Linked DNA regions of Mytilus edulis. The protein of the gene in region 1 purifies or fractionates together with the protein of each later gene. This does not show direct contact. Links are inferred from orthologs where the notes say so. Each region holds a gene or a part of one and is shown on either strand. Other genes may lie near its edges. The genes, in order: GTP-binding protein 4-like, ribosome biogenesis protein NSA2 homolog and mRNA turnover protein 4 homolog.

Region 1 (3,760 bases):
AACTAAACCAACGCAGAGTCATGCAACTGTGGAGCACGTGAAACACTTCACCATTTTCCTCATGGAGTGTCCTTGCTATGAGAACAAACGAGAAGATATGTTCAATCAAATATCCAAAGAGCACCCTGAACAGTATGTTTACCAGATTAGAAGGCGAGTTCATAAACAGAATTTGCAGATTTGATACTTCTTTTCCACAATCCCACTCTTAACCAGTGCATACCCTTTTATACGGTCTCACTAATTAGCGACAACAAGAATTTTAGCGACAAGAAGCGACAATAAGAATTATTTTAGCGACAACAAGCAACAAGAAAACATTTTTTTTTTAATTAAAATTAATTATTGCAATAAATATTAAAAGAATATGCAAAAGAAAATAATTTTAGCGACGAAGAAAGTTAAAATTGATAGAAAAAAATGAAACATTATTTAACATGATAATATTTTATCATCTATTATGAATATATATATATAACAGCCAGTATTACGTTTAATTATTGTATTATGAGATTACTTTTCCTTGTGTTTTAGAACATATTATTTATCTTATAATTTGTTTTTTAAAACTCTTTTCGTGCAATATATATTAAGCTCGCAATATTTATCATGTTTATGCATATTGATTGAAGATGAAAGGAAATTAATGACAATCTTGAGCTTTCTCACAAATGTTTCATTTCTTCGTCTATTTATATTATAAAACATTTTAATTAGACATATCTGCTCGTATATTTAAAAAAAAACATTAAATACAAATTTCTTTATATCTAATAAAAAAAAATGTTTTCTTGTCGCTAAATAGTCTTCTTGTCGCTTGTTGTCGCTAAAATAATTTTTGTTGTCGCTTCTTGTCGCTTGTTGACGCTTGTTGTCGCTTCTTGACGCTTGTTGTCGCTAATTAGTGAGACCCCTTTTATAGCACCGAGAAGAAACTACGTTGAGCAAAACACACAATAGAGAAAATTTGGGCTAACAGGCCTCAAGATTGAGGGCAATGAGGAGTGATTTAGCAATCGGGCAAGTTATTATTCAATTTGTATTAAGAAAACTAATTTGCTTAGTTGCCACTTATATTCGTTGATGCTAGCAACTATCAACCAATCTATTATTTAACCCCATCTTTGTAAACATAAATTTTTCATGAACGGCATGTTATAAACATATCGTCGTGTCATATGTTTTCGTATGTCATATGTTTTCGTATCAACCACATTTCGTCGGTTTCGACTGCATACGCGTACATTGTGGCATGTTTTTCTGTTTCTATATTTAGAACAACAACACCACTACAACTTGATATATTTAAAACATATTCAACGTCGCTTTTTAAAGACGTTAGAACAAATTAAATAAAACTGACCTATTTAGCCATTTTTATTTAATGTCAAAAAAACGCATCACTAGAATAGTTGTGGAAAAAAATTCTGAAGGGTTAAAATAAAGTCCAGATATGTTTTTTGCAAGTCAGACACCGGATCTTCAAGACATATGACTGTCATGTGTTTTTTTGGCCGTTTTAATTACAAACCATCGAGTTAAAATTAGCATGGTTCTTATATAAAATGGTTGTTCAAAATCCAACTATTCAATATTTCATTGACAATTTTTTTTTATACATCCTTGATACATGAAGATGAAAACAGTCTTAACTTTTTATATTTAATCATAAATTTTGAAAACTGCATTTTATTTTAGAAAAAATAATGTATTTTGTACAAACCAGGTGCCAATCTGAAAATTAATCAAAATCTAAAAATTTCATCACACGAAACACCAACCTTACACTATTAACTAGTAATTTTTAGTACTGAAAAGTATTTAATAACTTTTTTTATGATTCAAGCGATCACCAGAACCACGACTTTAAAAAAAAATTATTTCCGGATTTTGTAGTCATTTCCTGTCCGTGTACTGATCCAATTTTTATTTCATACGAAAACATATGACGCCGTTTTTTTGACATACAAAAATCGCAAAGTAATCGGAAACAGTAAAAAATCGTAGAAATCATTGACAAAAAAAACTAGATACCTAAAATCAATCTACAGGACATGCTTTTTAAATCTGAGTAAACACCTAAATAAAAACTCAACAGTAAAAACCGTAAGCAGTGAAAATTGTTATTAGTACGAAAACACATTACACGATGATATGTATCTTTTTGTAATTTCTACAATTGAACATAATTTCAAAAGACTAAATAACTAGCTATAGTGTTTCCTTCAAATAAAATGTCAATTGACTTTACTTTTGATGGTGGAACCACAGTGATTTTCTTGAAATTGTAGTGTGACATTTTGACTGATGTTGCAAAATCTGGCACACACGTGAAAAGGAAGTTGACAATTCACCAGGAGTGAATTATTTATTGGATTTTCATTGGTGAAAATAATGATAAGTCTACCAATAAAAGATTGATGAAAAATAATCAACTACAACGGACTATTTTGGTGACAATTAAAAGATTTTTCTCCAAGAAAACATGACAATAAATATCAAAGACATGAAAATAATAAATTGAACTTTTTTCAAAATTTATATGAAATTTAAAATTGTGAAGATTTTCGAGAAAATATATTTTCCGTAGTATTAACAGGATCTCTCCTCACTAGTTATAGTTTATCATTTTTTGTGACTTCCGGTTTTTATTGGCTTGTCCGAAAAAAACAGTTAGGCATCCTGACCCAATCTAATATACGATAACTCTGTTGATTGTCGAGCAGTAAGCCAGGATCCCAGGGTATCCGGAAAAAAATGGACAGTGTCAGTTTTGAAGACATAAATCAGTCAGAAATCAAAGGTTAAAAACGCTGTTTGACCCGAAGTTTGATTCACAGGGCCTGTATATTTTTTTATACAGTAGTTTTCATCAAATAAACTATTTTTATTAGTGCATATTGATTGGTGTATTATGTGATGTGATTTCAGTGCCAATTTTGGTTTCAAATTTCTCATTTGATGTGGCCCATCGATAACCAAACAAGTATATATACTCATATCTAGATAATAGTCCAAAAAATGTACAAATGGTTGGACCATATGAGGTGGGTCTCATTGGGGTCTAAGCGTGACGCGGGATTGTCGATTTTTTGTAAGCGTGACACGTGAAAGTCAAATTATTGTGGCGTGAAAACAGGAAATTAGGTCTTGCGGGACCCGGGAAATGACAAAAAAATGAGAATTGCTTATGTACATAGTGTAAGCGGGATACGGGAATCTGACAAAACAGTAAGCGGGATCCGGGATCGGAACCCCCCAATGAGACCCCCTATGAGAGGGGGGATGGACCTTTATAGGGACTCCAGATCAGGTGTTTTTGAGCTCGGGATTTCAGGATTGATCCTTTCAGGATCTGGGAATTCATCATTCGAATTTCGGGATGTCGGGATTTGATTTTTTTTAAAATTAGTGACCTCAAGCATGTCAGGATTTCATGTTTTTAAACCGGGGATTTCTGGATCTGGACCCCTCTGACCCCCCATGATATGAGATACTCATATGGTCCAAATACTCATATGACGCGGAACATTAATATCTCTAAAGTAGGGATGTCAATGAGTTCTTGAGTACTCGAGTAACGCTCAGTAGTACCAAGTATCGATTACCAAAGTGATACTCAACTAATTGGTTTCCTGTTAGAATGTTGTTGCTTTCTTAGCTTAAACAAAAAATAATTTTATTGAGAGCACTCGCCAGGAAATTAAATATTAATCAAATATATCAAAAATTAAGACAGGATTGGAATGTTTGCAATTTA
Region 2 (3,760 bases), on another chromosome or scaffold:
AATACATGTACCATCTAATTTATTGAATGAAGTTTGTTTTCTTAAGTTTCCCATCTAAAATAAAAAGGAACCTCACTAATGAGATACTCTGTGGTTTCTTGTAAACAGAGAAAGGTTTGATAAGTATGTCCTTTATACTCACTTGATGCCTCTTAGTTTCTTTGCTTTTTCTGCCAATTTATGTGGCATTCTTCCTTCCTTTTTACGTCTGACAAAAGAAAAATCATTAATCATTTGAGTGCACATTTATGACTTAATATTCTGTCTATCTTTAAGTTAGACTGATGCCTGCATGATAACTAAACTTATTTTATCAGGTTTCTTAGATTCTATGTATCAGAATATTTCAAACTATGTTGTTTTGTAAATAAAAGTTACAATGCAAGTATTGAGTAAACAAAAAGTATGTGCCATTATTGTATAGCAATGGAGTATTCACTGTAGAATGTAAACAGCAGTTCCAAGAAAAATGTTTTCTCTTAGCATATAAATTGTGATTGAAATCACAAAAATGCAAAATAATATTCTTCTCAGAACAATATTCATGTCATACCCTGAAAATGTTTATCAAAATTTCAACATGAATAAATAGTTTAAAATCACTACTAAGACTAAGAATTTAATCATGTCTGGTCTAGTGGCAGAAATTAAACAAAACAAGTCTTAATTGTACACATTTCTCCCATTTGGCATATTTATATATCTTTCACACTGAACAGTTCTTAAAATATATTTAGTTATAAAATTTATAATAATCTTTTCAGTTCGCTGAACTTACTTTTTCTCATGGTAATCCAGTCTGCGGCCATGTCTTTTTCTGTGGAGTTCTATATGTTCGTTCTGAGGCTATAGAGAAATTAAATTAAGAACTATCAAACTTGAAAGGCTACTACTATTAATAAATGGAAACCAATGTCCATATCACTGACACATTTAAGTTTCATAAACATTTTAGGCTATTCAAAATAATAATAAATTGACAAGAGAAAATGGAAGTTTAGTCTGTTAATTTTGCTAACTTAAGTCTTAGTCTTACATAGTCTTACATAGTCTGTAACTGAGCGCTGGATCACTCCACTGTGCTCAGATCTTCATTTATTTGCTGACTTGTTTCGGTTCCAGTTCCTCTGTCAGCTTTTGCTCTATAGATATATTTCATTTCACTATTTGTCCAAAATTTACCTAGGCGGCTTTCAAATGTCTGAATAGTAGGTGCATTTACAACGTTGCTGATATAAACTTAAGTATTGTTTCTAAGCAATATGGTTAAAATTTAGAAAATTCTACAGCTTTTTGTTGATAACTCACCTTGATTCGTTCAAAGTTAAATCATTTTTTGAAGATATTTCAATTAATGGATCCAAAAAACTCTTGAACCATTTGTGAAGGGAAGATAATTAGAGATCAATTTCCCTGGGTTTTTTTCTGTGAACAAGATAAGCCTATTGGCCATATATAAGATTAGAAGCATTGTATAATTTCTCTTATGATGGCAATATTTTACAGGAACCTCTGTGATGTAATGACAAACAAATAGCAATACAAAGGGGTGTCTTTGTTGTAAAATATACTAGTCGCCGTCACGTAAAATTGGCACAATGTTTTTTTGGTCAAAATTTTCTTAAATATCGACCGCGTTTACTAAAGATCATGTTTTTCAATTAGCGGAAGAAAAATCCTGTCCAAATATCCACTATTGTCCTACCTTTTATTGTGTTTGTATTTGGACAGGACTTTACTTCCACCAAATGAAAAACATCATTCTTGAGTAAACGCGGCTGATATTTAATTTTTATTTGACAAAAGACATGGTGCCAATTTTACGTGACAGCGACTATAATCCATTACTGCATTTGAACACGAGATATTTTCAAGTTATTGCCATAATACAACAGCAATGTATTTTAATACTTTCTCATCATACATTAATCTTTAACACTCATGATGAAAACTGCTCCCCATTGTGTTTATCTTCAACTGATACGGTAATTCTCAGATCTGCAGTGACATCACAACATGTAACTGACCAATCAATGATAAGAATTTGTGTTATGTAAACAATGTTGAGAGGTGATGCGGATAAGAATCCTCTAGATTTTGCATAGACTTCAATAAAAATTAATTTAATTGATATATATTGAACCAGTTGAATCTAGTAATTTTACCCACTTAATATTGTTAAAGACACTATATAATATCTCAATTTTGATTTTTATCATATTATATCCTCTGGTTAAAAAATAATCAGCAATATAAATAATCAGTTATCACCTTCAAATAGATGAAAAATCAAGAGGAATCCTGTCTGCATCACCTCTTGAAAAATTTAAATACCAGGATGTCCGGATCTGAGAATAGTGATCGCTGTTTCAGTGTTTGTTTTGACTGCCATACGCAACATGTTTATATGTGAATATCGTGTTTTAAGAGAAAAATAGGCATATAGATCGTCAAATAATTACGTATGTATATAAGGGATAGTTTATATAACACTTTGACTTAACTGTCGATGCTATAAACTAACCATTATGAGTTTTTAAAAGTTGTCAATATTTTTGTTGTGAAATTTCTCAGCGACACATGTTAAAAGAAATATACAAAGTTGAACACGGACAAAATCGAAAAATCCGGTTTTTTATAAGGTTTTGCTAAAATACGTCACGGGTACCAAGTCCGTACCCTTAAACTTAATAATTAACCAATTGATAATGATAATTCATATTCATAGTTAGAAAAAAAAAGATTATTTTGTAGATAAACTCATCATAGATACCAGGACTAAAATTTATACATACGCCAGACGTGTTTCGTCTACAAAAGACTCATTACAAAAGATATTATCAAAAGTAATCAGCAGAAAATTAGGTTTATTTCTTCTTCTTTATCTTAATGTTTCCTACCAAAATGAATTATTTTGTATCATCATTACCATATGGCCGTTAGTTTTCTCGTTTTACATTGTCTTATCGGGGCCTATTATAGCTGACTGTGCGGTATAGGCTTTGCTCATTGTTGAAGGCCGACAGTGACCTATAGTTGTTAATGTCTGTGTCATTTTGGTCTTTTGTGGATAGTTGTCTCATTGGCAATCATACCACATCTTCTTTTTTATATTTACTTTAAATACTTCCAACAGAAGTTTGGTTTTTGATATTATAATTTTTAAGACAAATACTCAGACTTTGCAAACATCTGTCAAACTGGTTGAATTCAGCTCTCATTAGGCATTAACAATAGATTAGGTGATCTGTTTAGAAATAGGTCATCTTATAGTCATTCCATCCACCTTTATCTTCCTGCTAAGTTGCTCCAATATTCTTGTGTCAAGGCTTTGATGCTTGATCAGACTTATCAGCTAGGTCAAAATGCTGGAGAAGTTATCAGTAACATCACAATGATTCAAAATTGATTTGAATCTAAAAGATAATATATAGCAGTACCGCCAACAGAAATTTGGTTTTGGTGAAGAATATGATTCCTAAATTTTATTAAATATTCAAATATTGCAAAAATGTCAAAATTAGCTTTTCTGATAATTCTTAATTTGGCCTTCTGGTCAGAAATAGGTCATTCTATTGTTTTAAAATAACAATATAACAAGAATGTGTCCCTAGTACACGGATGCCCCATTCGCACTATCATTTTCTATGTTTAGTGGACCATGAAAATGGGGTATAATCTCTATCTTGGCATTAAAATTAAAAAGATCATATCATAGGGAACATATTTACTAAGTTTCAAGTTGATTGGACTTAAACTT
Region 3 (3,760 bases), on another chromosome or scaffold:
TCATGTCACAGGACTTAGGTTCTAGTTCTCATCAATGCTAGTCTCATCACACTCTGCACATGAGTACCATCTGATAGGCCTGTATTCTCATTGGATTTGTATTTTGTATTTTTTTTTAAGTTGAAAAAAGTTTTTTTAAATGCAATCAATAAAAAGAAGAAGATAAGCCATTATAAGGTCTGATTGCCAATAAGAGAACTCTCTTCAAGAGACCAAATGACACAGAAATTAACAACTATATGTCACCATATTGCAAGTATTGTTTTTTTCTACTTATGAGTTTAGTGTCTTTACCCTGCAACTAATTTTGTATATTGTTCGTGCTTTGAAAGACACAAAAACTCAAAGTTTTATGCCTTAAAGCACTGCCTTTAAAAAAATCAATTAAATATAGTTATCTTAATTATTTTCCATTTCTTTCTTTTTTGAGACTCCATAAATTGGCTATTATGAGACCTCATTTTTACATTCAGAATGGTCTCAGATAGCAGGAAATAGAATGTAGTTCTGAAAAGTTTTCTTGTGGGGGGGGGGCATGCCCCCAAACCCTGCTAGAAGGTTCAGGTCGCTGACGCGACCCTCATCGGTGACTTAGGGCTAGGCTGTTTTTATCAGGACTACGCTGAACAAATTTACTCTAGACCTGTGGTCTTAACAACATTTTAAACTAAATTCTATCCCTGCTGAGTTGGGTAAGGCATATACTAATATGACTGAGTTATTCAGATATTAACAGGTCAGGAATAACCACCAATTAGTGGATTATACCTCAATTGACGTGTAATCCACCAATTGACATATATGGGTATAGACCAATTGATGTATAATGGGAGTTTTTTGTAAGAAAATGCTAGTGTGAGATAGGAGCATGATTTTGCAACTTGCAACCTATTTTATGACCTTTATTGAGTCCTCTGAAAGTTTCAGTTTTGCCAAAGCCTGCTGCATCTCTTGAGAATGCATGTGTACAACAGTTCTTTTGTTGAAACATTTGTACTATTGACCATGATTGACTTTTGATAATGAAAGTGAAGTATTTAAAACAAAGAGTTCCATTCACCTGTGGAGTTGTACTCATGATCACATGACTGCAGACAGTATTGATGTCCATTGACAGGTGATTAGTGGTAAATTTGCCAATCAAGAATTGACAAGATATATAACAATATAAGAAACTGCAAATACAATTATTGATTAAATTCATAGGCGGATCCAGGGGGGCCCTGGGGGGCCCAGGACCCCCCTTTCGTGGGAAAAATTTGGTTGATTATATAGGGAATCATTGAAGCATGACTGGAGCAGGCCACCTCTTAGGAAAAGTTCTGGATCCGCCACTGAAATGCAATATGTAATGTCACTATACTAAACTAGGAATGTTTTACAAGTTTTCATACCATAATATGTTTTTAAGAAGACAATGCTCCATTTTGGTGGAATAATTTGCTTTGAAAAACAAAGAATTATACACCAATTGGTCTATACCATTATATGTCAATTGGTGGATTATACATCAATTGAGGTATAATCCACCAATTGGTGGTTATTCTTGACCTGATTAATGAAAAAAATATCAAAATTGAAAGTGAAACAAGGTTGAACAATTTAGTTACACAATGTAACTACTTCAATAAGAAAACTGACAAACATCAATGAAGATTGGAGTTCAGGGTCACGTTCAATATCGTAGGGGCTACGTAAATTGATGACTATTGAACAAGTAGTTAGTATAGCTGCTACATAGTAATAGGCTAGCTACTAGTTCAATAGTCATAAATCTACGTAGCACTACATAGCCCCTACAATATTGAACGATATTGAACGCAACCCTTTGCACCAGCAAGAGCAGGGTTCGAACTCACAACCTCAGCGTTGACTAGCTAGAATCGGACTTCTTATCCCACTCGGCCCCCGAGGCCCCTTGTTAGTCACGAAAGTACCGTAACCCCCATAAAAACACTCATACAATGTACCTAGTAGTAGTAAAAAATAACTATAGTATAAAATTATAATCCCAAATATTTTCAAACTGTTAAAATTTCAGGGATTTTACAAAATGACTGTAACATTTATTTGTATTTTGTAGTGTGTATAAGCAGTTCTTTGAATAAACAACAATATAATAATACTTTTCTTGTCCCTTTTTGACTTTGGCATCTTGATAATAAAATGTACACAAACACACGTGTTTTTTTCAACCGGAAATAAGGAAATATTCCTGTTTTCAGGAATTGAATTAAAAAAATATTTTTATTAAAATTATTACACTTTTTATCAATTCCAATTCGAAAATATCATTGAAAATAATTTATGGTAAAGTTTTATTTATTAACAACGTTGACCTTCGACACCCGGCTAGGAGTTGACATAGCAACAGTGACGTTAGGGCTACCTTTTCGAAAGAATGTAATCCCCGAAATCTATCGAAAGAAATGGAATTCAAGAGAAGATAACCCACTTCCAGGTTTTAGGAATTTTGATGCAAAATAGTCCCACTGCATAATATATTCGATTATTCAAACGATAACTATTTTTATTCTTTTTAGTGAATTAATCTTCCCTGACATATTTTTATAGAATATAAACAATTAAACTTTATCATTTTAGTCCATGAAAATAAAGGAGTAGCGGAAGAATCAGTGATGTCACCTGTACTTTGATTGGTTAGTGTATTCCGCCATATTGGGAAGGTGGAGATAGAGTAAAGAGTAGTAGACTTCAAATTTCGATTATTTACAAATATTTTAACCATGTCGGAAGTCGAAGATAAAAAGGAACGCGAGACACTAGTTCAAAAAGCTAAGTTAGCTGAACAAGCTGAAAGGTATGATGATATGGCCGAGGCCATGAAAAAAGTGGTCGAAAAGTTTAGGAAGTTGAACAACGAGGAGAGGAATCTACTTTCCGTTGCCTACAAAAATGTTGTTGGTGCCCGGCGGTCATCATGGAGAGTAATTTCAAGTATAGAATCTAAGACTGATGGCACAGAAAAGAAACAGCAATTGGCTAAAGATTACAAAAACAAAGTAACAACCGAACTCCAAGAAATTTGCAAAGACGTTCTGGTGAGTGAAAGTTGACGGATGTTTCTTGTTGTGTCGTTTTGCGTGCAGTTTTCATTGCATGTTTATTTTTATTGTGTTTTCTTTAAGTTATAGATGTTTATATATCAAAGAAAATATATTCTACACCCGATCGCAATACACAGATTCAGATAGCATCGTTTTTGCATGTGCAGGAAGACGAGAATTTGGATCATCATAAAATTGGCATGTGTTTGTATATTCATCCGCGTCATTGATAAAAATGTAAAAATTTTGCATGAGTCATGAGCTCATCATCTCCTCTGCAGTATTATTGCAGATCTAGACACTCCGTGGACATCTTGAATGCAGTATGCAATGATTTATCTTATTGTTCACAGAATCAACAGCTTGGCAGCACTGATTATATAATGGAGCACTCTGCATAAATTATGCAAAAATGACAAACCTGTGTGATTTTCCACTATGAAGTACTAGTATCCATATTAAAATTGCCAGCAGTTTTTAAATGCATTATTCTTGGCTTGCATTTATATGAAGTCTGTAGGTGTATGCAACTTAAGACGTTATACATGTAGTTAAATGCATAAAAAATAAAAGAAGGTTCTTGTACCAAAGGATTTTAAAAAGGCTTAATGCACTATATATATATTTCTGAGTGTGCACTTCGTACAAATACATGAGATAATAGCTTGAATCGTTCAAAATTTGGGATAGGT

What was found.
Region 2: the proteins of GTP-binding protein 4-like (region 1) and ribosome biogenesis protein NSA2 homolog purify together in Homo sapiens (affinity purification with mass spectrometry; 3 studies listed by BioGRID and IntAct, counting the BioPlex papers as one, with this or other methods). This does not show direct contact. The link is inferred for Mytilus edulis from reciprocal best matches to the Homo sapiens genes GTPBP4 and NSA2.
Region 3: the proteins of GTP-binding protein 4-like (region 1) and mRNA turnover protein 4 homolog purify together in Homo sapiens (affinity purification with mass spectrometry; 3 studies listed by BioGRID and IntAct, counting the BioPlex papers as one, with this or other methods). This does not show direct contact. The link is inferred for Mytilus edulis from reciprocal best matches to the Homo sapiens genes GTPBP4 and MRTO4.

What each region holds. Positions count from the first base shown.
Region 1 is NC_092345.1:13,258,593-13,262,352, forward strand, and holds the start of GTP-binding protein 4-like, read right to left. Parts: upstream 2,371-3,760; 5' UTR 2,300-2,370; coding exon 2,252-2,299; intron 1-2,251. Other genes in the region: zinc finger protein 28-like, read left to right, coding at 2,758-2,803. UniProt on the Homo sapiens protein: Involved in the biogenesis of the 60S ribosomal subunit. Acts as a TP53 repressor, preventing TP53 stabilization and cell cycle arrest.
Region 2 is NC_092347.1:14,142,136-14,145,895, reverse strand, and holds the start of ribosome biogenesis protein NSA2 homolog, read right to left. Parts: upstream 2,625-3,760; 5' UTR 2,528-2,624; coding exon 2,525-2,527; intron 847-2,524; coding exon 779-846; intron 209-778; coding exon 143-208; intron 1-142. UniProt on the Homo sapiens protein: Involved in the biogenesis of the 60S ribosomal subunit. May play a part in the quality control of pre-60S particles.
Region 3 is NC_092355.1:77,874,736-77,878,495, forward strand, and holds the start of mRNA turnover protein 4 homolog, read right to left. Parts: upstream 2,266-3,760; 5' UTR 2,155-2,265; coding exon 2,127-2,154; intron 1-2,126. Other genes in the region: 14-3-3 protein beta/alpha-1-like, read left to right, coding at 2,748-3,062. UniProt on the Homo sapiens protein: Component of the ribosome assembly machinery. Nuclear paralog of the ribosomal protein P0, it binds pre-60S subunits at an early stage of assembly in the nucleolus, and is replaced by P0 in cytoplasmic pre-60S subunits and mature 80S ribosomes.